4 linked regions of the Saccharomyces cerevisiae S288C genome follow. The gene in region 2 interacts genetically with the main gene of each other region. Each region holds a gene or a part of one and is shown on either strand. Other genes may lie near its edges. The genes, in order: SOL3, HUB1, CHM7 and SYH1.

Region 1 (7,488 bases), on a different chromosome or scaffold from region 2:
ACAATAAAAAACACATCGTTCCTTTAGAAGTGAAAACTGGAAAATCCAGAAGCGTTTCATACGAGGTTCAAGGCCTTATTTATACACTTCTGTTAAATGATCGCTATGAGATACCGATAGAGTTTTTTCTTCTTTATTTTACGAGGGATAAAAATATGACAAAGTTCCCTTCTGTTCTGCACTCCATTAAACATATTCTCATGTCCCGAAATAGAATGAGTATGAATTTTAAGCATCAACTCCAAGAGGTTTTCGGACAGGCTCAATCAAGGTTTGAATTACCACCCTTACTGCGCGATTCATCTTGTGATTCATGTTTCATCAAAGAATCATGCATGGTGTTGAATAAGCTACTAGAGGACGGGACACCAGAAGAAAGTGGCCTGGTAGAAGGTGAGTTTGAAATTTTGACAAACCATTTGTCGCAAAATCTCGCCAACTACAAAGAGTTTTTTACAAAATATAATGATCTAATAACTAAGGAGGAGTCAAGTATAACATGTGTAAATAAAGAACTTTTCTTATTGGATGGTTCCACAAGAGAATCCAGAAGTGGAAGGTGCCTTTCTGGCTTGGTTGTGTCAGAGGTGGTTGAACATGAAAAAACAGAGGGAGCGTATATATATTGCTTCTCAAGACGTAGAAATGATAATAACTCGCAGTCGATGTTATCATCTCAAATTGCTGCTAATGACTTTGTTATTATTAGTGATGAGGAGGGTCATTTTTGCTTGTGCCAAGGTCGTGTACAATTTATAAATCCCGCTAAAATTGGTATCTCCGTAAAACGAAAGTTATTAAACAATAGGCTTCTAGATAAGGAAAAAGGAGTCACTACCATCCAAAGTGTGGTCGAATCAGAGCTAGAACAATCCAGTCTCATAGCTACCCAAAATTTGGTCACATATAGAATCGACAAAAATGATATCCAACAGAGTTTGTCTTTAGCGCGATTTAATCTTTTAAGCTTGTTTTTACCAGCTGTTTCACCTGGCGTGGATATTGTTGACGAAAGGAGTAAATTATGTCGGAAGACAAAGAGATCTGATGGAGGTAATGAAATACTGCGATCACTTTTAGTTGATAATAGAGCACCTAAGTTTAGAGATGCAAATGATGATCCCGTCATTCCGTATAAGCTTTCAAAGGATACAACATTGAACTTGAATCAAAAAGAAGCAATAGACAAAGTAATGAGGGCCGAAGATTATGCATTGATATTGGGAATGCCAGGGACTGGTAAGACTACTGTTATCGCAGAAATTATTAAAATTCTCGTTTCCGAGGGGAAACGCGTGCTTTTGACATCATACACACATTCAGCAGTGGATAATATTTTAATAAAATTGAGGAACACCAACATTAGCATAATGAGATTGGGAATGAAACATAAGGTCCATCCTGACACGCAAAAATATGTCCCGAATTACGCGTCAGTGAAAAGTTATAACGATTATTTGTCCAAAATTAACAGCACCTCTGTTGTTGCTACCACCTGCTTAGGAATTAACGATATACTATTTACACTAAATGAAAAGGATTTTGATTATGTGATTTTGGACGAGGCAAGTCAAATTTCAATGCCTGTCGCTTTGGGACCTCTGCGGTATGGAAATAGGTTTATTATGGTAGGAGATCATTACCAGCTACCGCCATTAGTTAAAAATGACGCAGCTCGATTAGGTGGGTTAGAAGAGTCACTGTTCAAGACTTTCTGTGAAAAGCATCCGGAAAGCGTTGCAGAACTGACTTTACAGTACCGTATGTGCGGCGATATTGTAACTTTGTCTAATTTCCTAATTTATGATAATAAATTAAAATGCGGGAATAACGAAGTTTTTGCTCAATCTTTAGAGTTACCAATGCCTGAGGCCTTGTCGCGCTATAGGAATGAATCGGCTAACTCTAAGCAGTGGCTTGAGGATATACTAGAGCCTACAAGAAAAGTGGTATTTTTAAATTACGATAACTGCCCGGATATTATCGAACAAAGCGAAAAGGATAACATTACGAATCACGGGGAGGCAGAATTGACTCTACAATGTGTGGAAGGAATGTTATTGAGCGGCGTACCATGCGAAGATATTGGTGTAATGACGTTATACAGAGCACAGTTAAGATTACTGAAGAAGATATTCAACAAAAATGTGTATGACGGGCTAGAGATCTTGACTGCTGATCAGTTTCAAGGTCGTGACAAAAAGTGCATTATTATTTCCATGGTTAGAAGAAATTCTCAATTAAATGGAGGAGCGCTGCTGAAAGAGCTAAGAAGAGTCAATGTTGCCATGACAAGGGCCAAATCCAAGCTGATCATTATAGGTTCAAAAAGTACAATCGGCTCTGTTCCTGAAATAAAATCGTTCGTGAACCTGTTAGAAGAGCGTAATTGGGTCTATACAATGTGCAAGGATGCACTCTACAAATACAAATTTCCCGACAGATCAAACGCTATTGATGAGGCACGCAAAGGTTGTGGAAAAAGAACAGGTGCCAAACCCATCACATCAAAGTCTAAATTCGTAAGCGATAAACCTATCATAAAGGAAATTCTACAAGAGTATGAAAGTTGACAGGGGGAATAAGAAGAGCTTCTCCATAACAGGAAAGCTATCACAGCATAAAATATCTATGTCATTTTATAAAGTTTGGTATATATAACACGTAATATTAGCATCTGAGGTTCGAAAGCTCGCATGTGTGTCTTTTCTAAAAAGTTTTCGTTTGAACTTTTCCAAAAGCTTCCTCATTAACGAACCAGGATGTTTTTTCACCAAATAATTTGTTAACCAATGCGGTTGGCAATTGATCGTTTTTCAAGTCAAAGATCTCATGCATTATATTTTGTTTGGAACTGCCCTCAGCCACAAAACACAGGGCTTTGGCGTCTTTCAACACAGGCAGAGTGAAGGTGATTCTGTCACTTGGAGGCTTGGGAGAATCGTGGCACCAAGCAACTCTTTTGGTTGTTTCGTTCAGCAAGTACCTATGTGTTTCTCCAGGGAATAAGGAACAAGTGTGTCCATCAGGACCACAGCCCAACAGTACCAAATCAAGCACTTGAGGTACGATACGCTCGTACTCTGCAGCAATTTTGTTGTTAGATTCAGCATCGCTGCCAATCAAGGACTCGTCCATGGGATAAACGTTTGGCTGACTAGTCGAGGGTAATTTATCTAGAACAGCTCTCTTGAAGGCACCATAATTGCTGTCAGCGTCCGTCAGTGGCACAATTCTTTCATCAGAGAAGTAGATTTGCCATTTAGACCATTGCACTCGAGAAGATAGTGATTCGTCCGCTACTAAACTTTCATACAGAGCATCGATCAAAGAGCCACCGCTAACGGAAACTTTAAAGTCTGACTTCTTTTGCAGCGCCTCATCTTGTTTCTTGACGATGAATTCCCCCAATTGATGGGTCAAACTAGCCCTCTCAGAAAACACACCGACTGTCACCATTTGGTCGCGGACCAGGGGTAAAGCAATTGATGGTGCATTGCCTTCTATTATCCTCGAGGCCTTTCCTCTTTATATAATATACCACTATTACCATTGTCGGGGATAAAAAGGTAAGAAAAAAACGGAAAAATGCAAAAGAGCAAATTATAACACCGCGCAAAGAAAATATACTTTACTATTTTATGAATATTATACAATCCGGATATATATGCTTACGTACATATCTTTGACAAAGCAAAGTTTCGAGTTGTAAATTCGGCGTTTATCTGCCCGTAGTAATTTCCTTTTTGCTTTCGTCGGCGCCGCTGAGAATATAGCTACACAATTGCGATATAGAGTCGCCATTCCGTATCCTGTAGTTGGCAATTCTACCCAATTGATAGCCAGCGGTCAGACAAAGAAACGAGTTGACAGAAGCCAACAAGATGTTTCTTGGCTTGATGACAAAGGACCAACGAGTCCAAATCAGCGCAGTAGATAGCAGCGACAAATTTTGAGCACCAGAAATTTTTTCCACCGGTCTCTTCATATCGCTGAATCCAGCGAAAACCAGACCCCATTTCAAAGTAGGAGCCCAGAAATGCACCGTCTTGGGGCCTGTCTCACTTTGCCAGAACCGCCTAAATGCAAAACGTACGGATGATGTAGACATTTTTCTTTTCTTTAATCTTTTTCTGTATAACTTCGTTTATATAATTCGTGTGTCAATTTTCTGATATAGTGAGTGATAATTCTCGACAATACGTTCTTTCGAATGAACTAATGGTTTGCCGTCTATTTCAGTTTCCTATTGCAGTCAGCGATGTCAACGATGTGCGTATCAAACTTTACTGTTTTCCTCGAGGAAAAACCTTTGTGCTTCTTTTCTCTCGGACTTTTTCTTCTTTCTTATTATATACTCAACGCTTTTCTTTTTCTTCTTTTTTTTTCCATCCTAGTCATGCGCGCAATAGGAAAGCGCACGAAACAAATGAGTAATTCGTAGGAAACAATGCAGCCCCCAGGGTCAGCAACTGACGTGACTCAGCCTGGCTTTTGTAGAAAAAGATGACGCCCTGGCAGAGAGGTGGGGGAATTGAGGGGTCCTCGCTACCCACCTTAAGTATGGAAGAATATGATGAAGAATATGATGATAACTCTTGGAAGCGAGCGGCGGGTTCCATCACTTTTTACGGATTGGTAACACAGGGGCCTCAGTTCGATACTTGGTATTCAGGCTTCCAGCGTTGGTGAGTTTAGTTAGCGGTATGGTATGCACATGGTGTTGATGCTTGGTGGTAATCATTCGTTAGGTGAATTGAGCAGTAGCGATATTAGATATATTTAGTATTTTATAGCGTCTTTTTGGTGGGGGAGGAAGGACAAAACCTGTCTCGTAAATATAAAGGGACTGTTCGATATCGCAGATACTAGAGTATAAATTTCGATTGAGGCGAGATGACAACATATTTCAAGTTGGTAAAAGGTGCTACCAAGATCAAGTCAGCCCCGCCCAAACAGAAGTATCTGGATCCGATACTGTTGGGGACCAGCAATGAAGAGGATTTCTATGAGATCGTGAAGGGTTTGGATTCCCGAATTAATGACACGGCGTGGACTATTGTGTATAAATCGCTGTTGGTGGTTCATTTGATGATAAGGGAGGGTTCCAAAGATGTTGCATTGCGGTACTACTCTAGGAACCTGGAGTTTTTTGACATTGAAAACATACGTGGCTCCAATGGCAGTGCGTCTGGAGACATGAGGGCACTTGATAGATACGATAATTATCTGAAGGTGAGATGCAGGGAGTTTGGTAAAATCAAAAAGGACTATGTGAGAGACGGCTATCGAACACTGAAGCTGAACAGTGGCAATTACGGAAGCTCCAGAAACAAGCAACACTCTATCAATATAGCACTAGATCATGTGGAGTCCCTAGAGGTACAAATACAAGCCCTGATTAAAAACAAGTATACACAATATGATTTGAGTAACGAATTGATCATATTTGGTTTCAAGCTGCTTATTCAAGACCTGCTAGCGCTATATAATGCTCTCAACGAAGGTATCATAACTCTGCTGGAGTCTTTTTTCGAACTATCTCATCATAATGCAGAGAGAACTCTAGACCTGTACAAGACGTTTGTTGATTTGACCGAGCACGTTGTCAGGTACTTGAAGAGCGGGAAGACTGCGGGCTTGAAAATACCCGTCATCAAGCATATCACTACCAAACTGGTCAGATCGCTAGAAGAACATCTGATAGAGGATGATAAGACGCACAACACTTTTGTGCCCGTTGACAGTTCTCAAGGAAGTGCTGGGGCCGTAGTAGCCAAATCTACTGCACAGGAAAGGTTGGAGCAAATCCGGGAACAAAAAAGGATACTAGAGGCACAATTGAAAAACGAACAAGTAGCGATTTCCCCTGCTCTAACTACTGTCACGGCGGCTCAATCTTACAACCCGTTTGGAACAGACTCTTCTATGCATACTAACATTCCAATGGCTGTGGCTAATCAAACGCAACAGATCGCAAATAACCCATTTGTATCTCAAACTCAGCCACAGGTGATGAATACACCAACCGCTCATACAGAGCCCGCAAATTTAAACGTTCCTGAATATGCAGCGGTCCAACACACAGTGAACTTCAACCCTGTACAAGATGCTGGCGTAAGTGCCCAACAAACGGGGTACTATTCGATTAACAACCATTTAACACCCACATTTACAGGTGCAGGGTTTGGAGGATACTCCGTTTCACAGGATACAACTGCCGCTTCTAATCAACAAGTCTCTCATTCACAAACTGGTTCTAACAACCCGTTCGCATTGCACAACGCCGCGACGATCGCAACAGGGAATCCTGCACACGAAAATGTCTTAAATAACCCATTTTCACGACCAAACTTTGATGAACAAAATACCAATATGCCGCTACAACAACAGATAATAAGTAACCCTTTTCAAAACCAAACGTACAATCAACAACAATTTCAACAACAAAAAATGCCTTTGAGCTCGATCAATAGCGTTATGACAACCCCTACTAGCATGCAGGGATCGATGAATATTCCTCAGCGTTTTGATAAAATGGAATTTCAGGCTCACTACACTCAGAATCATCTCCAACAACAGCAACAACAGCAACAGCAACAACAGCAACAGCAACAACAGCAACCACAACAGGGTTATTATGTGCCTGCAACTGCAGGAGCCAACCCTGTTACAAATATAACTGGGACAGTTCAACCTCAAAATTTCCCTTTCTATCCACAACAGCAACCACAACCGGAACAGTCTCAAACACAGCAACCAGTTTTAGGAAACCAATATGCTAACAACCTCAATTTAATTGATATGTAATATCTAGTATAATCAGGTATGTAAGGGAGTACTCAAGTGCATCTTTGGATAGCTATATATAGTTGTAAGGAAGAGCTATGTAATTTTTGCCATTTTGTACATATTTTGCATTTGTCCTATAGTATGTAATACTTACATCTTACTGTCTTCAATTCCTCCCGCCAACAAAAGATTTCGATAGCGCCGCACCATGGAGTTTATATTGTTATTTCCGAGACGACCTATATAAGGGAAAAGACGAAAACTGGGTATTTGATACTTGTCTAAACTTCAATGGACAAATGATATAAAATACAAACAATGAATAGTAACCGATGCCAAACGAATGAGGTGAATAAATTTATTAGTAGTACAGAAAAGGGGCCTTTTACGGGCAGGGACAATACGCTCTCTTTTAACAAAATCGGGAGCAGACTGAATTCACCACCGATTCTGAAGGATAAAATTGAGCTGAAATTTCTACAACACTCAGAAGATTTGAATCAATCACGGTCCTACGTAAATATTCGTCCTAGAACCTTAGAGGATCAAAGTTACAAATTTGAAGCGCCAAATCTAAATGACAATGAAACTTCTTGGGCCAAGGATTTTAGATATAACTTCCCTAAGAATGTTGAACCGCCCATCGAAAATCAAATCGCGAATCTTAATATAAACAACGGGCTACGGACATCTCAG
Region 2 (5,086 bases):
GAGCCCATCAGTTATGTAACGAAGGTTACCAGATATATTTTGATGGATTGGTTACTACTGTATGGTCGGCGCCAAACTATTGTTATCGGTGCGGCAATAAAGCATCTATTCTGGAGCTGTATAGTAAAGATCAATTCTACTTCAACGTTTTCGAAGAGGCACCTGAAAATAAACTGTTGAAAGAGAACAGTATGAACGACAATGCCTTAGAAGATAGCATATCTAATCCGGTAGCCAACAGGAAATTGATTGCAGATTATTTCGAAGACGACTCTGCCTCCGCAGATGGCTCCACGGACCCTGAAATGTACATATTTTCAGATGTATACCAAGCCAGATCTGCTTCTAACAGACATGTTGATTACTTCTTGTAGCTTACTAAACAATAGAAAAGCATTATAGAGACAACGCCATCTTATTATTTCTACATATTCTATCTCTCTCGGTTGCAAATGTATGTATTGTGTATTTAGATCAAAAAAAAAAAAACAGCGCATTTTCTACAGGTAATACAGCTCCAAATTTGTCTGATCATGTACCTCATAATCTTCCAGAGAGATATGGTCTTTTAAAACACTTCCACCCTTCTGCAACACAATTTTGTTTGGTTGGGTGCCAATTTGCAAGGACAATACTTTTTTGAAATCACCTACACTATCTTCAGCAAGGCACTTCACTCTGACTTTTTTGCCTAATCGGTCATTCACAACTACCTCAATCATTTTCAGAGTATTTATTTGCAATCTAAGCTTTGCCACCGCTCCTCTTTCTCAATCTTTTCCTCTCCCTCCTCATCTCTCTCAGCCAAAACCGCGAATATATAAAAACAAGCAAGTCTCCCGTAGAACTTTTACACGATGACCTTTCGAGATTTCACAAGGGGGATAAAGGAATGCTGTCCGATACAATTGACACAAAGCAACAACAGCAACAGCTTCATGTCCTGTTCATAGACTCTTATGATTCATTCACCTACAATGTAGTGAGACTAATTGAACAACAAACTGATATCTCACCGGGAGTCAACGCCGTGCACGTGACGACGGTACATAGTGATACGTTCCAATCTATGGATCAGCTATTGCCACTTTTGCCGCTTTTTGATGCTATCGTTGTTGGCCCAGGACCTGGGAATCCCAACAATGGTGCACAAGATATGGGTATAATATCTGAGCTTTTCGAGAATGCCAATGGAAAGTTAGATGAAGTTCCAATATTGGGTATATGTCTTGGGTTCCAAGCAATGTGCTTGGCTCAAGGTGCTGATGTCAGTGAGCTAAATACTATCAAGCATGGGCAAGTGTATGAAATGCATTTAAACGATGCAGCCAGAGCTTGTGGCCTTTTTTCTGGTTATCCCGATACGTTCAAATCTACGAGGTACCATTCATTGCATGTCAATGCCGAAGGCATTGACACCCTTTTGCCCTTATGCACAACCGAAGATGAGAACGGTATTCTTTTGATGAGTGCTCAAACGAAAAATAAGCCATGGTTTGGCGTACAGTACCACCCGGAGTCATGTTGTTCAGAATTGGGGGGGCTGTTAGTCAGTAACTTTCTCAAGTTGAGTTTCATAAATAACGTGAAGACAGGAAGGTGGGAAAAGAAGAAACTTAATGGAGAGTTTTCCGATATCCTATCTCGATTGGATAGGACTATTGATAGAGACCCCATATACAAGGTAAAAGAGAAATATCCGAAGGGCGAGGACACAACTTACGTTAAGCAGTTCGAGGTCTCTGAAGACCCGAAATTGACATTTGAAATTTGCAACATCATACGAGAAGAAAAATTTGTCATGTCATCTTCTGTGATTAGTGAAAATACGGGTGAATGGTCTATCATTGCTTTACCAAACTCCGCATCCCAGGTATTCACTCATTATGGAGCTATGAAAAAGACTACAGTTCATTATTGGCAAGATAGTGAAATTAGTTACACCTTGTTGAAAAAGTGTCTAGATGGTCAAGATTCGGATTTGCCTGGCTCCCTTGAGGTAATACATGAAGATAAATCCCAATTTTGGATCACTTTGGGTAAATTTATGGAGAATAAAATAATCGATAACCACAGAGAAATACCTTTTATTGGAGGTCTTGTTGGCATTTTAGGTTATGAAATAGGTCAGTACATTGCATGCGGCCGTTGCAATGATGATGAGAATTCCCTTGTTCCCGACGCCAAACTAGTTTTTATCAACAATAGTATAGTCATTAATCACAAGCAAGGGAAGCTTTATTGTATTTCTCTGGATAATACATTTCCAGTGGCATTAGAACAATCATTAAGGGACAGTTTTGTTAGAAAGAAGAATATTAAGCAATCCCTGTCCTGGCCCAAGTATCTTCCAGAGGAGATAGACTTCATTATAACTATGCCCGATAAACTTGACTACGCTAAGGCGTTTAAGAAATGTCAGGATTATATGCATAAGGGTGATTCTTATGAAATGTGTCTCACAACGCAAACCAAAGTTGTACCATCTGCGGTGATAGAACCCTGGAGGATTTTCCAGACCTTGGTACAAAGAAACCCGGCTCCATTTTCAAGTTTTTTTGAGTTTAAAGACATTATTCCCCGCCAAGATGAAACGCCTCCAGTTTTGTGCTTCTTAAGTACTTCTCCAGAAAGGTTTTTGAAGTGGGATGCAGACACATGCGAGCTACGTCCCATCAAGGGAACTGTGAAAAAAGGACCGCAAATGAACTTGGCAAAAGCCACACGAATCCTGAAGACACCAAAAGAATTTGGTGAGAACTTAATGATTTTGGACTTAATCAGAAATGACCTTTACGAGTTGGTTCCTGACGTTCGGGTGGAGGAGTTCATGTCCGTGCAAGAATATGCCACCGTTTACCAACTCGTTAGCGTCGTAAAGGCACATGGATTGACCTCTGCCAGTAAGAAGACGAGATATTCAGGCATTGATGTCCTTAAACACTCGCTTCCTCCGGGATCTATGACGGGAGCCCCCAAGAAGATTACTGTGCAATTATTGCAGGACAAGATAGAAAGCAAGCTAAACAAACATGTCAATGGTGGAGCACGTGGTGTTTACAGCGGTGTCACGGGATATTGGTCTGTGAATTCCAACGGAGATTGGTCTGTTAACATTAGATGTATGTATTCCTACAACGGCGGAACCAGCTGGCAACTCGGTGCAGGGGGGGCCATAACAGTCTTAAGCACACTAGATGGCGAACTAGAGGAAATGTACAACAAGTTGGAGAGCAACTTACAAATTTTCATGTAGATATTTGTATATTATTAGATATGTATGCAAACATTTTCTTTAGAATAATATACTATTCTTGTACGATGCAGAATTTTTTTTTTTTTTCGCTTTAGGAAAATGACGTTTTGTGCCGTGGAAAACCCTGGAAAAGGATATTGGAAAAAAGTTAAAGCATGGTCATTTAGGGAAGACTTTCCTTCCAATTTACTTATCAATAGGTTATAATGTATGCTTGACGGAGCAGAATTCTTTCAAACCATAAGATAATAGATATTATAACATTTTAGTACATAAAAGAGGCCCGAGAAAATAGATTTTAACTGGAATAATTTTTTGCAAGATGACAACAACCGTACCTAAAGTGTTTGCATTCCATGAATTTGCAGGAGTAGCTGAGGCAGTTGCCGATCATGTTATTCACGCACAAAACTCTGCCCTTAAGAAGGGCAAAGTCTCAAGGTCCACACAGATGTCCGGAACGAGCCTTAACGGAAATGGTAACACAGAATCCAAAACGATGGAGAGAGTAAATTCTGTAAGGAGTAATGCCTCCAGCCGTGGTGGTAGTGAAGACGGCGCCACTAAGAAATTGAAAAAGGAGAAAGAAAGGCGCTTCAAGATTGCGTTGTCCGGTGGTTCGTTAATCCAAGTGTTGCACGAAGGATTGTTGAAAAGAGACGACGTTCAATGGGGTAAATGGGACATTTACTTTGCTGATGAAAGACTAGTGCCCTTTAGCTCCAGTGAAAGCAATTACGGTCTTGCTAAGAGAAAAATATTCGATTTAATAGATACGGAGAAGTACGGAACTCCGAAAATTTATCACATTGATGAGTCATTGATTAACGACCCTCAAGAGTGTGCAGATAACTATGAGAAAATTCTAATTAAAGGATTTGCCGGTAGAGATTCTGTGAAACTACCGATGTTTGATCTGTTTCTGCTTGGCTGCGCTCCTGACGGTCACATAGCCTCGTTATTCCCCAATTTTCAAGAGAATCTACGTGAAAATCTGGCATGGGTCATACCTGTAGAAAATGCACCCAGCGGACCTTCGAATAGGATTTCACTGACCATCCCAGTGATTTGTCACTCTCATAGAGTCACCTTTGTTGTAGAGGGCGCCACAAAGGCGCCTGTAATCAAGACAATAATGGAAAGGCCTGAAAAGGGATTGCCTAGTAGTATTGTCAATGAGGGCGCCGCCGGTCGTGTTTCATGGTTTGTAGACGACGATGCTTTGAAAGATGTCTTTGTAATTAAGAAGAAGTACAAGTTTTATGATGATGAGAATTTGACTGAGTAGGTGTTTAATTTTTTGGGTTCTTTTTCTTTCTGATGATAATGACAACTAATGACAATACTATGATTTAACCTTAACCATTTTCTTTTTTTAGCTCTTTCTATCCCCACCCTTCCCTTTAGTAATCGCAATAAATCACCCTATGTTTTTGAATTTTCTCGAGAAGTAACTTTATATAAAACAAGTCATCTTAGTGACGTAGTGTGCATATATAACATACAACATATATAATATATACAATAACCCTTTAGAAAAAAATAATAACAACCACAGTGGATATTTCCCTTTTGGACCTATGGCTTCCGCTAAGAGAAAAGCATGCTTTTAAGTTTTCTTTTCTTTCAAGGAGATTATTTGGTCTTAAGCGAAGTGAGAGATTGAAACAAAATGTTAATTACAGAGTTTACGAAGAATCAGTTTGCAAGACCACCTTATTCGTATGGCATTATCAAGCTTTGTGTGTAGACTATCCACACAAACATGATTCAACATACATAGCAGTGGTAGGTATACAACGGATATAAAAACCTTAACTCTACGTGTAG
Region 3 (8,172 bases), on a different chromosome or scaffold from region 2:
GAGTTGAAGGTATCTCTCCGGAGTTTATGTTGGAGCATTCTTTCTTCCAATTTCAAAACGTTATTTCAGTACCAGTTATGGAAAAGAAACTTGCTGAACTGAAAAAAGACTTTGATGGCATCGAAGTCGAAGATGAAGAAAATGTTAAAGAATACCATGAGATTGAGCAGGCTATCAAAGGTTACCGTGAAGATGTTCGTCAAGTTGTCACCCATCCGGCAAACGCCTTAAGTTTCCTACAACCAGGCAGATTAGTTGAAATCTCTGTCAATGGTAAGGATAACTATGGCTGGGGTGCTGTTGTCGATTTTGCTAAAAGAATTAACAAACGCAACCCAAGTGCTGTCTATACAGACCATGAATCCTATATTGTCAATGTGGTCGTCAATACCATGTATATAGACTCTCCAGTCAACTTGTTGAAACCTTTCAACCCTACCTTACCAGAAGGGATTCGCCCAGCGGAAGAAGGTGAAAAAAGCATATGTGCTGTTATTCCCATAACTTTGGATTCAATCAAGTCGATTGGTAATTTGAGACTATATATGCCCAAAGATATTAGAGCCAGCGGTCAAAAAGAAACTGTTGGGAAGTCTTTAAGGGAGGTTAATCGGAGGTTCCCGGATGGTATTCCCGTGCTGGATCCTGTTAAAAACATGAAGATCGAAGATGAGGACTTTTTAAAGCTAATGAAGAAGATTGACGTTTTAAACACAAAGTTATCCTCCAATCCCTTAACCAATTCCATGAGACTAGAAGAACTATATGGTAAATATAGTAGAAAACACGATTTACATGAAGATATGAAACAATTGAAACGCAAAATTTCAGAATCACAAGCCGTAATCCAACTGGACGATCTTCGTCGCCGTAAAAGAGTTTTGCGCCGTTTAGGATTTTGTACTCCTAATGACATTATTGAACTGAAAGGTAGAGTTGCATGTGAAATATCTAGTGGTGATGAACTGTTACTAACAGAATTGATCTTCAATGGTAATTTCAATGAGTTGAAACCGGAACAAGCAGCAGCATTATTATCATGCTTTGCATTCCAAGAACGCTGTAAAGAAGCGCCTAGATTGAAACCAGAGCTTGCCGAACCTTTGAAGGCTATGAGAGAAATTGCAGCAAAGATCGCTAAGATAATGAAGGATTCTAAAATTGAAGTTGTAGAAAAGGACTACGTTGAAAGCTTCAGACATGAACTAATGGAAGTTGTTTACGAATGGTGTAGAGGAGCTACTTTTACGCAAATCTGTAAAATGACCGACGTTTACGAAGGTTCGTTGATCAGAATGTTCAAGAGATTAGAGGAATTGGTGAAGGAGCTGGTAGACGTCGCCAATACCATTGGTAACTCTTCACTTAAGGAGAAGATGGAAGCTGTCTTGAAATTAATTCATAGAGATATCGTATCTGCTGGTTCTTTGTATTTATAGTTAATCACACACAATTATGTATTTTTATTGGTATATATAATAAACAAATAGATTTCATCAACATTTATTATATAATAACATTTTTGTTTGGGCAAGCACACTATTGATACACCCATACAACTCAATGAAGTGCAGCGTTAGTAGAGACAATAAGAGGAGTTTTAAATTCTTAAACTATATCTGGCAAAACACCACCAAAGCCAGCCAAATAGTATCTCACTGTATCTGAATGAAAGTAGATTTACCAGAATCCAGACTACCATCTTTATATAGAGATTTTAGGCCATTGAAAGATTTAAATCCCGATGGGTACGAAGCAAACATCAGTACATGGAGGGATTTCTTCTTGCAACAATACATCAGCAACTCCAACAGAATCATATTTACTATAGGGACAAGGACTTTGCAAGAATTAACTCATGAAGTTTATGGCGTACCGAAAAGCATTGATATAGCAATTGACGTTCTTGTTAATGAAGGAAATTTGATACCTATGGAATTATTCAATCTTGGTGGAATGTACACTGACAACAGTAGAAAAGGATTTTGGAAGTGGGTTAGAAGTTGGAAGGAGTCTACAAACATGTATAAAAGCCGGAAGGATGAAACAAATTTCTACTTGAGAGAAGACAAATTTATTATCAAAGCAAATTTGGAAAAAGAGTATCAAAGGTTTCATGAATTACTCAAAAGAAGTGTTTTTATGGAGGCTTCATCTATTACAGATTTAGTATTCACAAGGAATGAATTTGTGACCACAGAAAGTTTGCAGTCGTTCTTTTCAACCTATGATGAAGAAACGAAAAACGTGTTCCTGCACTTTATAGAGAATTATAAGCACATAATAGTTTCAAAAGACAATGTTATCAAAGTCATTGCCGCTGAAGTAGAAGACATTACTAGCAGGTTCTCCAAAGGCATCACAGAAAATGACCTTCGAATTGCTAGTGTTAAAGTGGGTATTATAAACATCAACAAACAAATTACAAGGCTAAGAAAAGAAATTAATGAATCTAACATTAAACTGAGAGGACCAGAGTTTAATGAGCTGCCGAAGAGAATAAGGATTGAATATAAACAGGCGAGATTACTATCTGAAAAACATCTTTCTAGGTTACTAAAGTTTCAAAATAACCTCGCTCAAGTAAGAACTCAAATAGACACCAGTGCTACTAATGCGGTTTTAATTCAAACTTTAAGTGAATCCAACGAAGTAATTAAGTCAATTAATGGATATATTGGTTCTACCGAAAAAGTAGAAGACTTACTAGATGAGATTAAAGAGGGTCATGACCGTACCGAAGAGGTCAATGATTTATTAGCTCATTATAATAAAGGTCAAGACGAAGAAGCAGAAGAAGAAATTGAAAGAGAATTAGAACAATTAGAACTTGATGAAAAGAATAATAATAAGGAAGAAAATAAGAACCAGGATTTGCACGAGCCAAAAGAAAGCAGTAGCGAGGATCTATTAAAGAGATTGAATAATCTGAAGATAAATACAAATGAAGGACCTGTGCAAGATAATGAAAACCACGATAATGAGATAAGAAAAATCATGATGGAAGAACAACCACGTTGACGAACTGAGTGACTAATAAATAAATATATATGTATAAATAAAAAATAAATATGAATATTTTAATAGACGGAAGAAAGAAAATATGTGTGAATAACCAAATAGGAAATAAACAAAAGCACATTTAATTGTTGCCGTTATTATTAGAGTAACCTAATGTACGAACTTTGGTATTAGATGCAGAATTATTGGAAGACAAGTTTAGTTCAGACACGTTTTGTCGCAATTGAGAAGTACCATTAGAAGGATACATCCTTGGGGTAGTATATGCTGAAGGAGTCATTGAATCACCACCACCTCCTCCTCCCCCGTCCGACACCATGTCTAAGCTAGATAATTTTTGTAAAGAGTAGTTGGCGCTGTTTGACACATTTGTGCCCAACCTCTGGTAACCAAGACGGGAGGAGGAAGCATCTACTTCCGGTTCTTTCGCCCAAAAAGATGTCAAACCTGAGTAAACCTTGTGTAGAAGAGAAGATTGTTCCATGTAGTCGAATGTTTTGTTATTGGCTTCCAGCGGTTCTAAGATGAGAGTCGATCTGGGCAACAGATCCAACTCTTGCAAACTTTTGAGTTCGTCATTTCGCGTAAGAGTCACTCTTGGTATATTTCTGTGGAAAAGGTAAGGTGTTCCATCATCGTAGCAATTATAGTCTAACCACATCCTTACTTTGTGTAATTTTGTTTGAGGAGGGAAAGTATTAGAGATTGTGTAACCATTGGGCAGTTTCAATTGTAGAGTACAGTAGTTCTGGGCGAGAAACCCCTTTTGACTCTTGTAACTAACATTATCAGTAACTGTCAACTGCTTCCACTTCTGTGGCTTTCTTTGCGGGTCATTAGTATTTTGAAAAACATACTTCCTCTCCAACTTGTCGTTCTGAATCATTCTTTTGACTCTTTGATATTCTTCATTGCTCTTGGAAAATAACTTCCTCTTTGTTACTTGACCCTTAAAGACTGATTGTAACCCATTGATAAAGGTTTCCCAAGGATCCTGCTCACGAGAAAGGCTATTACCTTGGATAGAACATTCGAGTAGACCGTTCTGTAATATGTTAATGCTTGGCGCCGATGAGGAGGGGAAAATGCTCTTGAAAAGCAAGCACTCTTTAGTACCATTTACTAACCTTACCCACAGTATGTTTTCGCGCTCCTCGTCACTAAGATTTCCTGGTTTGAACCACTGATGAAGCCAAGAATTGTCCCCGGCTGCTGAACTAATGTAAACGACGATAACCTGCTCACTAGTATGAGAGTAATCATGAACAACTCGATCATGAAAGAGGCTGTCTATACCTGACATCTCGTACATTTCTGTTATTCAATACCTGTAATTCACTTCCTTTGAGGGTCAAAAATGTCCCCTGTAAGCAAGTGTATAAGTATATAATTATATATATGTGCATATATATGTCCCTATACAACTACTAACGAATCTTAAAAGTTGACTATTCATGTGGAAAAAGTCCCTCTTCTAGGGTTGACGCGCTAGAGGTAAATCCATTAAGGTTCCTCCTGGCTTCGTTAACTCCGAAAAGAATAGCATGTGCAAGATGAGTTACCGAAAGAAGCAATAAAGAAAGCACGAGTACATGTAGAACAGGGGCACAGATAATACCAGACAGATGAGCCCACTTTTAAGAGTTTCAAAACTTCCACGAATGCACAGGGAGAATAAAGTACGCGCTGGGTCCGTTACGATTCGTGCTGCAAGAGGTTTAAAATCGCTCCACAATGGTCTCGCCCCTCGGCCCTTCTCCAATTACAAGCATATTACTAATACAGTTTTCGTTTCTTTTGTAATGTTCAGATAGGAGCGAAAGACTAATTTCGATGGAAATTTTTATCTTCATTTCGATAGTATGTTCAATCAGTTGAACTATGCATCTTTGGTTATCATCATTAACAAATTGAAACGAAAAGCTATCCTGCCAAGAAGGCCGGATAGAGAGATTGAAAAAGATATATAAAGTGTCCTTGTCACACTCATACAACACCTGTTGTATGTCAGGCATACGGCAAATTGACTACAGTTTGCATTTGCACTAATGTCGTTTGCAGTGTAACTGTTGTATTGAACGTGGACAAGGACAAGAAAGATAGTTTTTATCTCTTGATGTTTTTTTATATGGAGGAGAAAGCGACGAAGTCGAAAAAAACGAAAGGAAATAAAATGCTGTCGGAAAAAAAGTTAGGGCTGGTACGGATTATAAACTATCTCAGTAGTTAGGTAATATATAAGATGGCACCAGTCTTAGTACTTGTAAGTTGCTGTTGATTCGTCCCTAGTTATGAATTTGTCTCGTAACAACTTGGCCAAGGCGTCTTTGAACTCACCAACACTAAAGCCTTTTATCTGCTGCTTTACCGTTTCAAATAAATGGTCGTAGTCTAGCCCATTCCTCTCGCTCTTAACGGATCTAGTTATGCATGCCTTTAGTAATTCTTGGGTCCATTGGGAATTACTTCCTTCGTGGTGTGCAGAACTGGTTCTTTCACCGCCTGTGTTGCTACTTTGGAGAGACGCGGTTCTCGGTAGAACCACACGTAGTTTCCCATTTTTCACTTTTTTCATATCAGGTTTGAAGCTCTCGTTGATACTGTATGTGTTGTCAATATCTCTTGTCAGAATTTTATAATTGCAGAAGGATTTTAAGACTAGCGCTAAGTCTTTGTACGCCAGTTTCGTTTGCTCTGATATAACTTGCAAGGTCAAATGATCGCTTTCGTTGAATAAAGTCAGCACACATGTTTGGAAAAGGGTCAATTCAAATATTAGGTTAGTTCCATCCTGTATGATATAAGGCGACTCCACTTCGCAGTGGTGCAAGTTCCACATCGGATATAGCTCTTTTTTGGAAGCATCTGAATCTTCCACTTTATTCTGCTCGTGATAATTACGGAGAAATTGGTTCCACGTATCATCCATCTCTTGAGGTAGGACAAAATTTTTCTTTACTTCGTTGGATTGCTGAAAAACTTTGGGAATTCTTTCTCTATCAAAGATAAGTGGGAAAAATGACTTGCTGTTGTTTTCATTGTATGTCTTCCCGAACTTCACAGCAGCCTCGATATTCTCATAAAACGACAAGAACGATGCATATTTGATTCTCAGATCTGCCATAACCTCTACCGGCTGAAAGAATTGCGATAAATAGGGTTGATATTGATCTCGGTATCGCATTTCATCCTCTTGTGAGACATTTGTTATGATTCTTTGTTTGAAAAGTTCCATGAGGCTGTCTTTGTAAACAGGTAATATATCCTTAATAAATGAGGAATTTTGATCACTTTGTAAGATCGTCTTTCTGAAAATTGATCTTTCGAAAAAATTAGGAAATGTGGGAAGGTTAACGAACTTCAGTCTCAATATAGGAAGATTTTCGTTGAGATACTTTATTTTCATATCTCTGGGTAGGTCTTTTTTAGTTGTTTTTATCTTTCTGACGATGATGAATAAATGTGACTCAAAATATTTGACATACTGTTCTATGGCTTTGCTGGTACTTCCAAGTAAATTACATAAATGGTACTCGATGGAATCGGAGTATATTTTGAGGTGATCTACATTAGCTAGCTGAACTACCTCATCAAATAGCCTTTCAGTATCATGATTGGATCCATATGCTGCCTTTAACTTTTCTGAAACGGCATCATCACAGAATTCCTTGAATTTTGACAGCATATTTTTTGCTTCAAAAGCATTTCTAAACATCAATAAGCTAAAGTGTGTCTCAGTTTTGAAATATCTCTCTTTTTCTTCATCATAAGTGTCCTTCCCAATTTCTATGTATTCGCTAATAGACTTCTTGTTCAACAGTAGATGGCTTATAAATAGGTCATTTGCATCGCTGACCCATTCAGGGGAAAATAAAGATGCTAATAATGCATTCCTCGTCAATAGTACCTTAAAATTCTTGAAAGTTTCCAGCCTCGGCCTTAAATTTGATTCCTCACAGTAATATTGTCTGAGAGTTTTCATATAAAAATCTTTGGGGCTCAAGCCCTCTATACTAAAATTGCAGTTAGACATTATACGGAGCATAGGAACTTCCTTCTCTAACATTGTATTCGTTATTGGAAACATATGAATATAGTGATGAATAGTAGCGCTTACAAGGGTGGAAAATTCCCTTCCAAAATGTGACTTCATACATTCGAAAAGTTTGGAATCATAATACTGAAATATCGTTAAGGTCTCAAATCCTAGTTCTTTTCTTATCATGGGATAATTTACCGGCACATACGATATAATAGGACCAACGGCACCCATTACGTACTGAAATAGCTTGTAAAAAGAGGTCCAATTTTTGGGTATAATTTCATAAGAATAGTCGCATCTGGTCAAAAAGCTAAGGACGTGCGCGTCAATTATTAACTTTGCCAATTCATCACAAAATTCTTGAAAACTCAGCACAATTTGGTGTTGATGTAGCAGCTGAAACTTCTTTTGCTTTTCGTCATTCCCATTAAATTCTGAGTTGTAAGGAATGTATGATTTCCTTTGCGTTAATTCACGGCAATTGTTCAACATCTTAGGCATTAGCTTTCTAAATTTAGCGGCCTTTTCTTTATTACACTCCAATTCTTTCACGTCAGTTTCAGTTATAGTTTCAGCTAAAGTAAGGTGAAAAAACTCGTGCAGCTCAGCAATCATCGTTCGATACCTGGGATTTCGCTCATCGTTAAATTTATTGTATAGTCCTAAAGCGTTGCTTGCACTCGTCTCTCTGCTTATAGACTCGTGGAATCCTTCTCTCTTGGAAACGCTCTCATTTATCATTGTTCCTGTGAACCCGTACGAGAATTTATACCAGTAAAAAAGATTGGTGGGTTTAATATCTTGAGGATTCCTTCAAAGTAGTCTTTTAGTGCAAAGATATCGATGATCTTCATTCGCATTGTTCATATTCATCATTACGCAAAGGATAGCTATGCGTTCCGCTTCGTCATACTTAATCAGGAATATTGAACATCCAAAAATCTCCGAGCTCACGTATGTAGAATTTTTGATGAATACAAAAGAAGAAAACACTAGACTTTTCTTTGATGTTTACATTATGTCTATGATGCTAAGTAATTGGGCACTCTCCCCTCGATATGTGGGACAGCGAAACCTCATACATTGCACCACTTTATTTCACACACTTA
Region 4 (4,870 bases), on a different chromosome or scaffold from region 2:
ATAAGAATCAGAACTAACTGAGTTATAAGAAGAAAAATCAAGACAGAGGGAGTTTAAAATGGACAGTAACTTTTATCACTAAGGTTATATTGACAAGTAGTGCTCTTTGGAAAAGGAATCTTCTAGAATCATCTTCGTTAAATTTCTTTTTTCATTGCCTTCGAAAAAAAAAAAGAAAAAAAGAAAAGAAATACACGTAACAAATGATTATGCGCTCAACCAACTTAAACACTTCTCATCTCCATTAAGAACCTTCAAACAGACGATAGATTCGCTAAATGATACGTTCTGCAATTTGAAAAATGTGCTTACCTTTCTCAATTCATGTGGCTTCAAACATTTAATCGATATACTAGCTATAGGTAGTTTGCACACGCTAACATATTATTGTAGCGTTCTTAGTACTGTTATTAGTTATCAAGATATTTAATTTCAATTAATTATACAAATAGATGGGAGTTATACTAGTTAATACATTGAATAGAAGATATACACGCGTAGTAAACAACTACTATGGAACAAAAAGGCTTCAAAATCTTTTTCCTTTCTTTTTACCAACAACTTGAAATTCCCAGTCTTCGGAACTGCCTTCAGGCATAGCTAATACTTCACTCCAGCTCAAGGGGTCATTAATTTCTTCTTCGCATTCTAGACGTTTTTTGATGAAATCAGTGGCAAATCTCCTACCGTCCATTGTTGAACTGTAGGAATATATGGTATCTGCGATAATTTCCTTGGATTCTGAACCTGGGGGCAAGCTAAGTAGCATTTCTAAAACATTATCGGGCTGAACACCCGTATTTAGTTTTAATTGGGATCGGCACCATCTCAAAAATTCTTGACGCTTAGAGACAGAAGCGTTACCGGGATAGGCAGGGATGCGAGACGGTTTAACTTGACGGGCCTTTAAAGTCGGGATACTAGTGGATGAGCCAATTTGTTTACTCTTATCGCTCATTTTAGTTTTTGTTGCGGTAGATAACCCCCCAGAAGAACGCAGTGTGTCCAAACTGATATATGACTTTGACTGGTTACCAGCGACAGGCATGGTGGAAGCGATGTGGGTTGTGCTCTTAGAAGAAACCGTGGTCCACGCATTGCTAGTATTCGAAGAGTTCAATGCCGAAGAAGATGGGGAAGGCGTTCTTGAAATGAAATCATCGAGTGAAGAAGCGCGGTTGAATTTCTTTGTTTTCTTTTGAACTTGTTCCCACAGCTTTTTCTGCTCTTCAATAAAAGTGGAATCTGGTTTAATATCACCATTGTTGGCCTTGTTAATTTTAGACTGACTGTTAATTTTGGTACTGTCTTTCATCAATTCTCCTTTAATATCAACTTTGATCGGTTGCTGTGGCTTTATACCCCAGGCAGAACCAGTTTGAGTTTTCGGAATTTGCGCCGAGCTTAATATTTCTTTCTGTAGTTTTAATGCCTGCTCACGATCTAACTGAGTACGATTAGGTTTTTTTTCTTTCTTGGACGAGTTCTCCTTCTTCAAATCTTCAAGAGCAGATGAAATCTGATTATAAACAGCACCCTCGGGTTTCTTGTTAGCCCAAGGCGCCAAATTAGTGGTTATGGAAGTTGCGGTGTTTTCGGAAGATGGAGTTTCTGTATCTCCAGTTAAAATGTTATTTAGCAATTCTTTTTGCTTTTCTTTCTCTAATTTTCCTTCTTCCTTCTTCTTCTTTTTTAACTTCTCTTCTTCCTTTTTCTGCTTTTGCTTCAATTTTTTCTCCTTCTTTAATTTGCGCTGTTCTTCTCTTCTCTTTTTTTCTTCTTCTTGTCTTTGTTGTTCTTCCAATAATTTTTGTGCCATCAGTTCTGCCTTTGCAAACCTTTTCTGCTCTTCAGAAGTCATTTGCGGCGTATCTTTGCTTTTCGGCTCATCAGCAGTGGATATTACATCCTTACGGTCTACCTCTTCAATCTCTGGTTGAACTTGATCCAATATATTTTGCTCTTTCTCGCTTCCTCGAGATTCTTCCTCCTGCTTAGTAGGATTTTTGACAATAGATTCCTCTTCATTTGTTATGTTAGAAACAGTTCTGCCCTCTTCTGAAAAAACCTCTTGCTCCTCTGGAGAAGCTTCCTCGTGGGAAGGAACCTTCTCTTCATGGGAAGAAGTGGTTTTATTAGATCTACTAGAAGTCGTGGATAGAGGAGCGGTATATGCAGATATCTTTGGTATGCGATCTACCTTTGTGATATGACGGCCGTCAACCGGAACCCAAACCTGAGTTTCATGATAGTAACTTCCATCTTCAAATTTAAGGCCAAGGATTTCTTCATACGTAAAATCATCACTATGCACATCAGCAACAGGTATCAAATCTCTTGACTCAACTTTTTGCTTTTCTGATGAAGTTGGTGCAACAAGTGGAACAGCATTCAAAGCTCTAATAACAATGAAATCAAAGGCGACAAAAGGGTCTTGATAATTATTCACCAGAGTAGTCAATTCACCTAGTCTAATAAACCGATCATTTACACCAAATGGCTCAGGAGATGTTGCTAATCTACAGATTTGCAAAGTTGGAGTAAAATAACCTCCTTGATACCACTGTGACATATTATTGGTACCAAAAGGCCCCTGAATGTTACCATTAGAGTCAATGTATTTCCACTGAGATTCTATCCCCGGTGGTGGGGGTTGATTACCAACGTTGGGGGCAGGCCCTGTTGCGTTGTAGAGATAAGGAGCTACATTTGGAAATGTGCTCGAGGGTTTATTGAGAACGGAAGGGCTGCTGGCGTTCATATGCAGGTTGGATGATGCTGCACTAAATGCACTATTGTTTTCCTGATTAGCAGATATTTGTAGCGGAGATCCAGTAATTTCAGCGTCATATGCATTGAAGGGAACAGTACTGGCTCCACTAATCGCATTACTCCCTGGCACAAAAGGAGATGGAACTCTTTGGACGCCAATAGAATCCATAATGGAGGAGGGCCTTTGCAAAAGAGCCGCATTGTTCATGGTTGGAGTATTGCTATTTGATAATGCAGCAGTGTCTGAGTTCGCGTCTGCAAGTTTAACACTGTGAAGGTCAAACGCTAGAGAGTTGATAGGATTCATCACTTACTGCCACTGCCAATCTTGTGCAAGCTGTGGCAAAATCGACCTTCTCCATGCGTCCATGGTAAATGAAATGTTTTGCTTTCTTTTTCGTGCTTGCAAAGTTTGGTAGATGAAATTTCAGAAAGCTACTGCCGTACCAAAGTACAATAATAAGGTGAAAATGGGAGTAGGAAGTAATAGATGGCATTGAATGCCTCATTTATTCATTATTCATGTTTTCTTAACATTTTGATTCAGTTGAGTGCATGCTTTTTTGAAAAGACTAAACATTACAAGTTTTAATCATGTTGGCCCGTTCCAGGGTGTGCTTGCAGACAATCACTAGACGGTTGGCAGACTTTCCAGAAGCCAATGCTATTAAGAAAAAATTTCTCTTTAGGAAGGACACCTCGACCATCAAACAGTTAAAAGGACTGTCTAGCGGCCAGAAAATAGTACTCAATGGATGGATAGAGCAGAAGCCAAAAAGAGTTGGGAAAAATTTGATCTTCGGACTTTTAAGGGACTCTAACGGTGACATTATCCAGTTGGTTGATAACAAATCGTTGTTGAAAGGCTTTACTTTAGAGGATGTGGTTCAAGCCGTAGGTATACTCTCTTTGAAGAGGAAGCTATCAAATGAGGACGCAGATGAGTACGAAGTGCAATTGGAGGATATTACTGTGTTAAATGCATCTAATAAAAAACCAGCGCAAATGCAGGATTTTAAATTGTCAGCCATATACCCACCTGAGTTCCGCTATTTGCAATTGAGAAATCCCAAATATCAAGATTTTTTAAAGAAGAGGTCATCTATCTCTAAGGAAATAAGAAACTCCTTCAACAATTTTGATTTTACGGAGGTCGAGACCCCAATGTTATTTAAAGCTACCCCAGAAGGCGCAAGAGAGTTTCTGGTTCCAACAAGGACAAAGAGATCCGATGGTAAACCATCGTTTTATGCTCTAGATCAGAGCCCTCAACAATACAAGCAACTCTTAATGGCTAGTGGTGTCAACAAATATTATCAAATGGCAAGGTGCTTTAGAGATGAAGATTTAAGAGCAGACAGGCAGCCTGAGTTTACACAGGTTGATATGGAAATGGCCTTTGCTAATTCTGAAGATGTCATGAAAATCATAGAAAAGACAGTTTCTGGGGTATGGAGTAAATTTTCCAAAAAACGAGGATTATTGACTTTAGACAGTAAGGGTACATTAGTGCCTGCGAAAAAGGAAAACGGCACAGTATCTATCTTTCGTATGACCTACGAACAAGCCATGACCTCATATGGTATTGACAAGCCAGATTTGAGAGCGCCAGATTTGAAGATTATCAATTTAGGCGAGTTCAATGCCTTTAGTCATTTGAACAAAAAATTTCCCGTTTTTGAAGTAATTATTCTAAGAAGTGCCTTTTCAAATATGGAAGAGTACAAAGAACGATGGTCGTTTCTGACAAATAACAGTAATTACAATTATAGAGTTCCAATAGTGCTACCAATTGAAAATGACGAACAAGCTAATTCAAATTGGTTTGAGAATTTTCATGCAATTGCCACGTTTGAAAACCCACATCTAATAACCAAATTTCTGAAACTGAAAAAAGGTGACATTGTATGCGGTTGTACGAGAGAGCCAAACCATTCCATTTTCGAGAATCCTACTCCCCTGGGAAGATTGAGACAGTTGGTGCTACAAAGTGAGCATGGGAAAAATATCTATCATGCTGTCAATAAGGATGTTGCCTCATGGATTGTGGATTTCCCGTTATTTTCTCCCGTTATAATTGAAGATAAGTCTGGTAAAA

The links.
Region 1: mutations in HUB1 (region 2) and SOL3 together harm fitness more than expected from each alone (negative genetic interaction), as found in Saccharomyces cerevisiae (2 studies listed by BioGRID).
Region 3: mutations in HUB1 (region 2) and CHM7 impair growth when combined (synthetic growth defect), as found in Saccharomyces cerevisiae (one study listed by BioGRID).
Region 4: mutations in HUB1 (region 2) and SYH1 together harm fitness more than expected from each alone (negative genetic interaction), as found in Saccharomyces cerevisiae (2 studies listed by BioGRID).

What each region holds. Positions count from the first base shown.
Region 1 is NC_001140.6:419,695-427,182, reverse strand, and holds SOL3 (6-phosphogluconolactonase SOL3), read right to left. Parts: upstream 3,460-7,488; coding exon 2,710-3,459; downstream 1-2,709. Other genes in the region: bifunctional ATP-dependent DNA helicase/ssDNA endodeoxyribonuclease DNA2, read left to right, coding at 1-2,573; MPC2 (mitochondrial pyruvate carrier), read right to left, coding at 3,722-4,111; YAP1801 (Yap1801p), read left to right, coding at 4,897-6,810; PEX18 (Pex18p), read left to right, coding at 7,111-7,488. UniProt on the Saccharomyces cerevisiae protein: Hydrolysis of 6-phosphogluconolactone to 6-phosphogluconate.
Region 2 is NC_001146.8:686,743-691,828, forward strand, and holds HUB1 (ubiquitin-like protein HUB1), read right to left. Parts: upstream 723-5,086; coding exon 501-722; downstream 1-500. Other genes in the region: putative serine/threonine-protein kinase PPG1, read left to right, coding at 1-374; ABZ1 (4-amino-4-deoxychorismate synthase), read left to right, coding at 893-3,256; SOL1 (Sol1p), read left to right, coding at 3,579-4,544. UniProt on the Saccharomyces cerevisiae protein: Forms conjugate with SPH1 and HBT1. Involved in morphogenesis.
Region 3 is NC_001142.9:344,305-352,476, forward strand, and holds CHM7 (phosphatidic acid-binding protein CHM7), read left to right. Parts: upstream 1-1,668; coding exon 1,669-3,021; downstream 3,022-8,172. Other genes in the region: ATP-dependent RNA helicase MTR4, read left to right, coding at 1-1,439; UBX6 (Ubx6p), read right to left, coding at 3,143-4,333; YJL047C-A (uncharacterized protein), read right to left, coding at 4,740-4,874; cullin RTT101, read right to left, coding at 5,276-7,804; AIM22 (putative lipoate--protein ligase), read left to right, coding at 8,082-8,172.
Region 4 is NC_001148.4:352,334-357,203, forward strand, and holds SYH1 (Syh1p), read right to left. Parts: upstream 3,080-4,870; coding exon 530-3,079; downstream 1-529. Other genes in the region: aspartate--tRNA ligase MSD1, read left to right, coding at 3,367-4,870.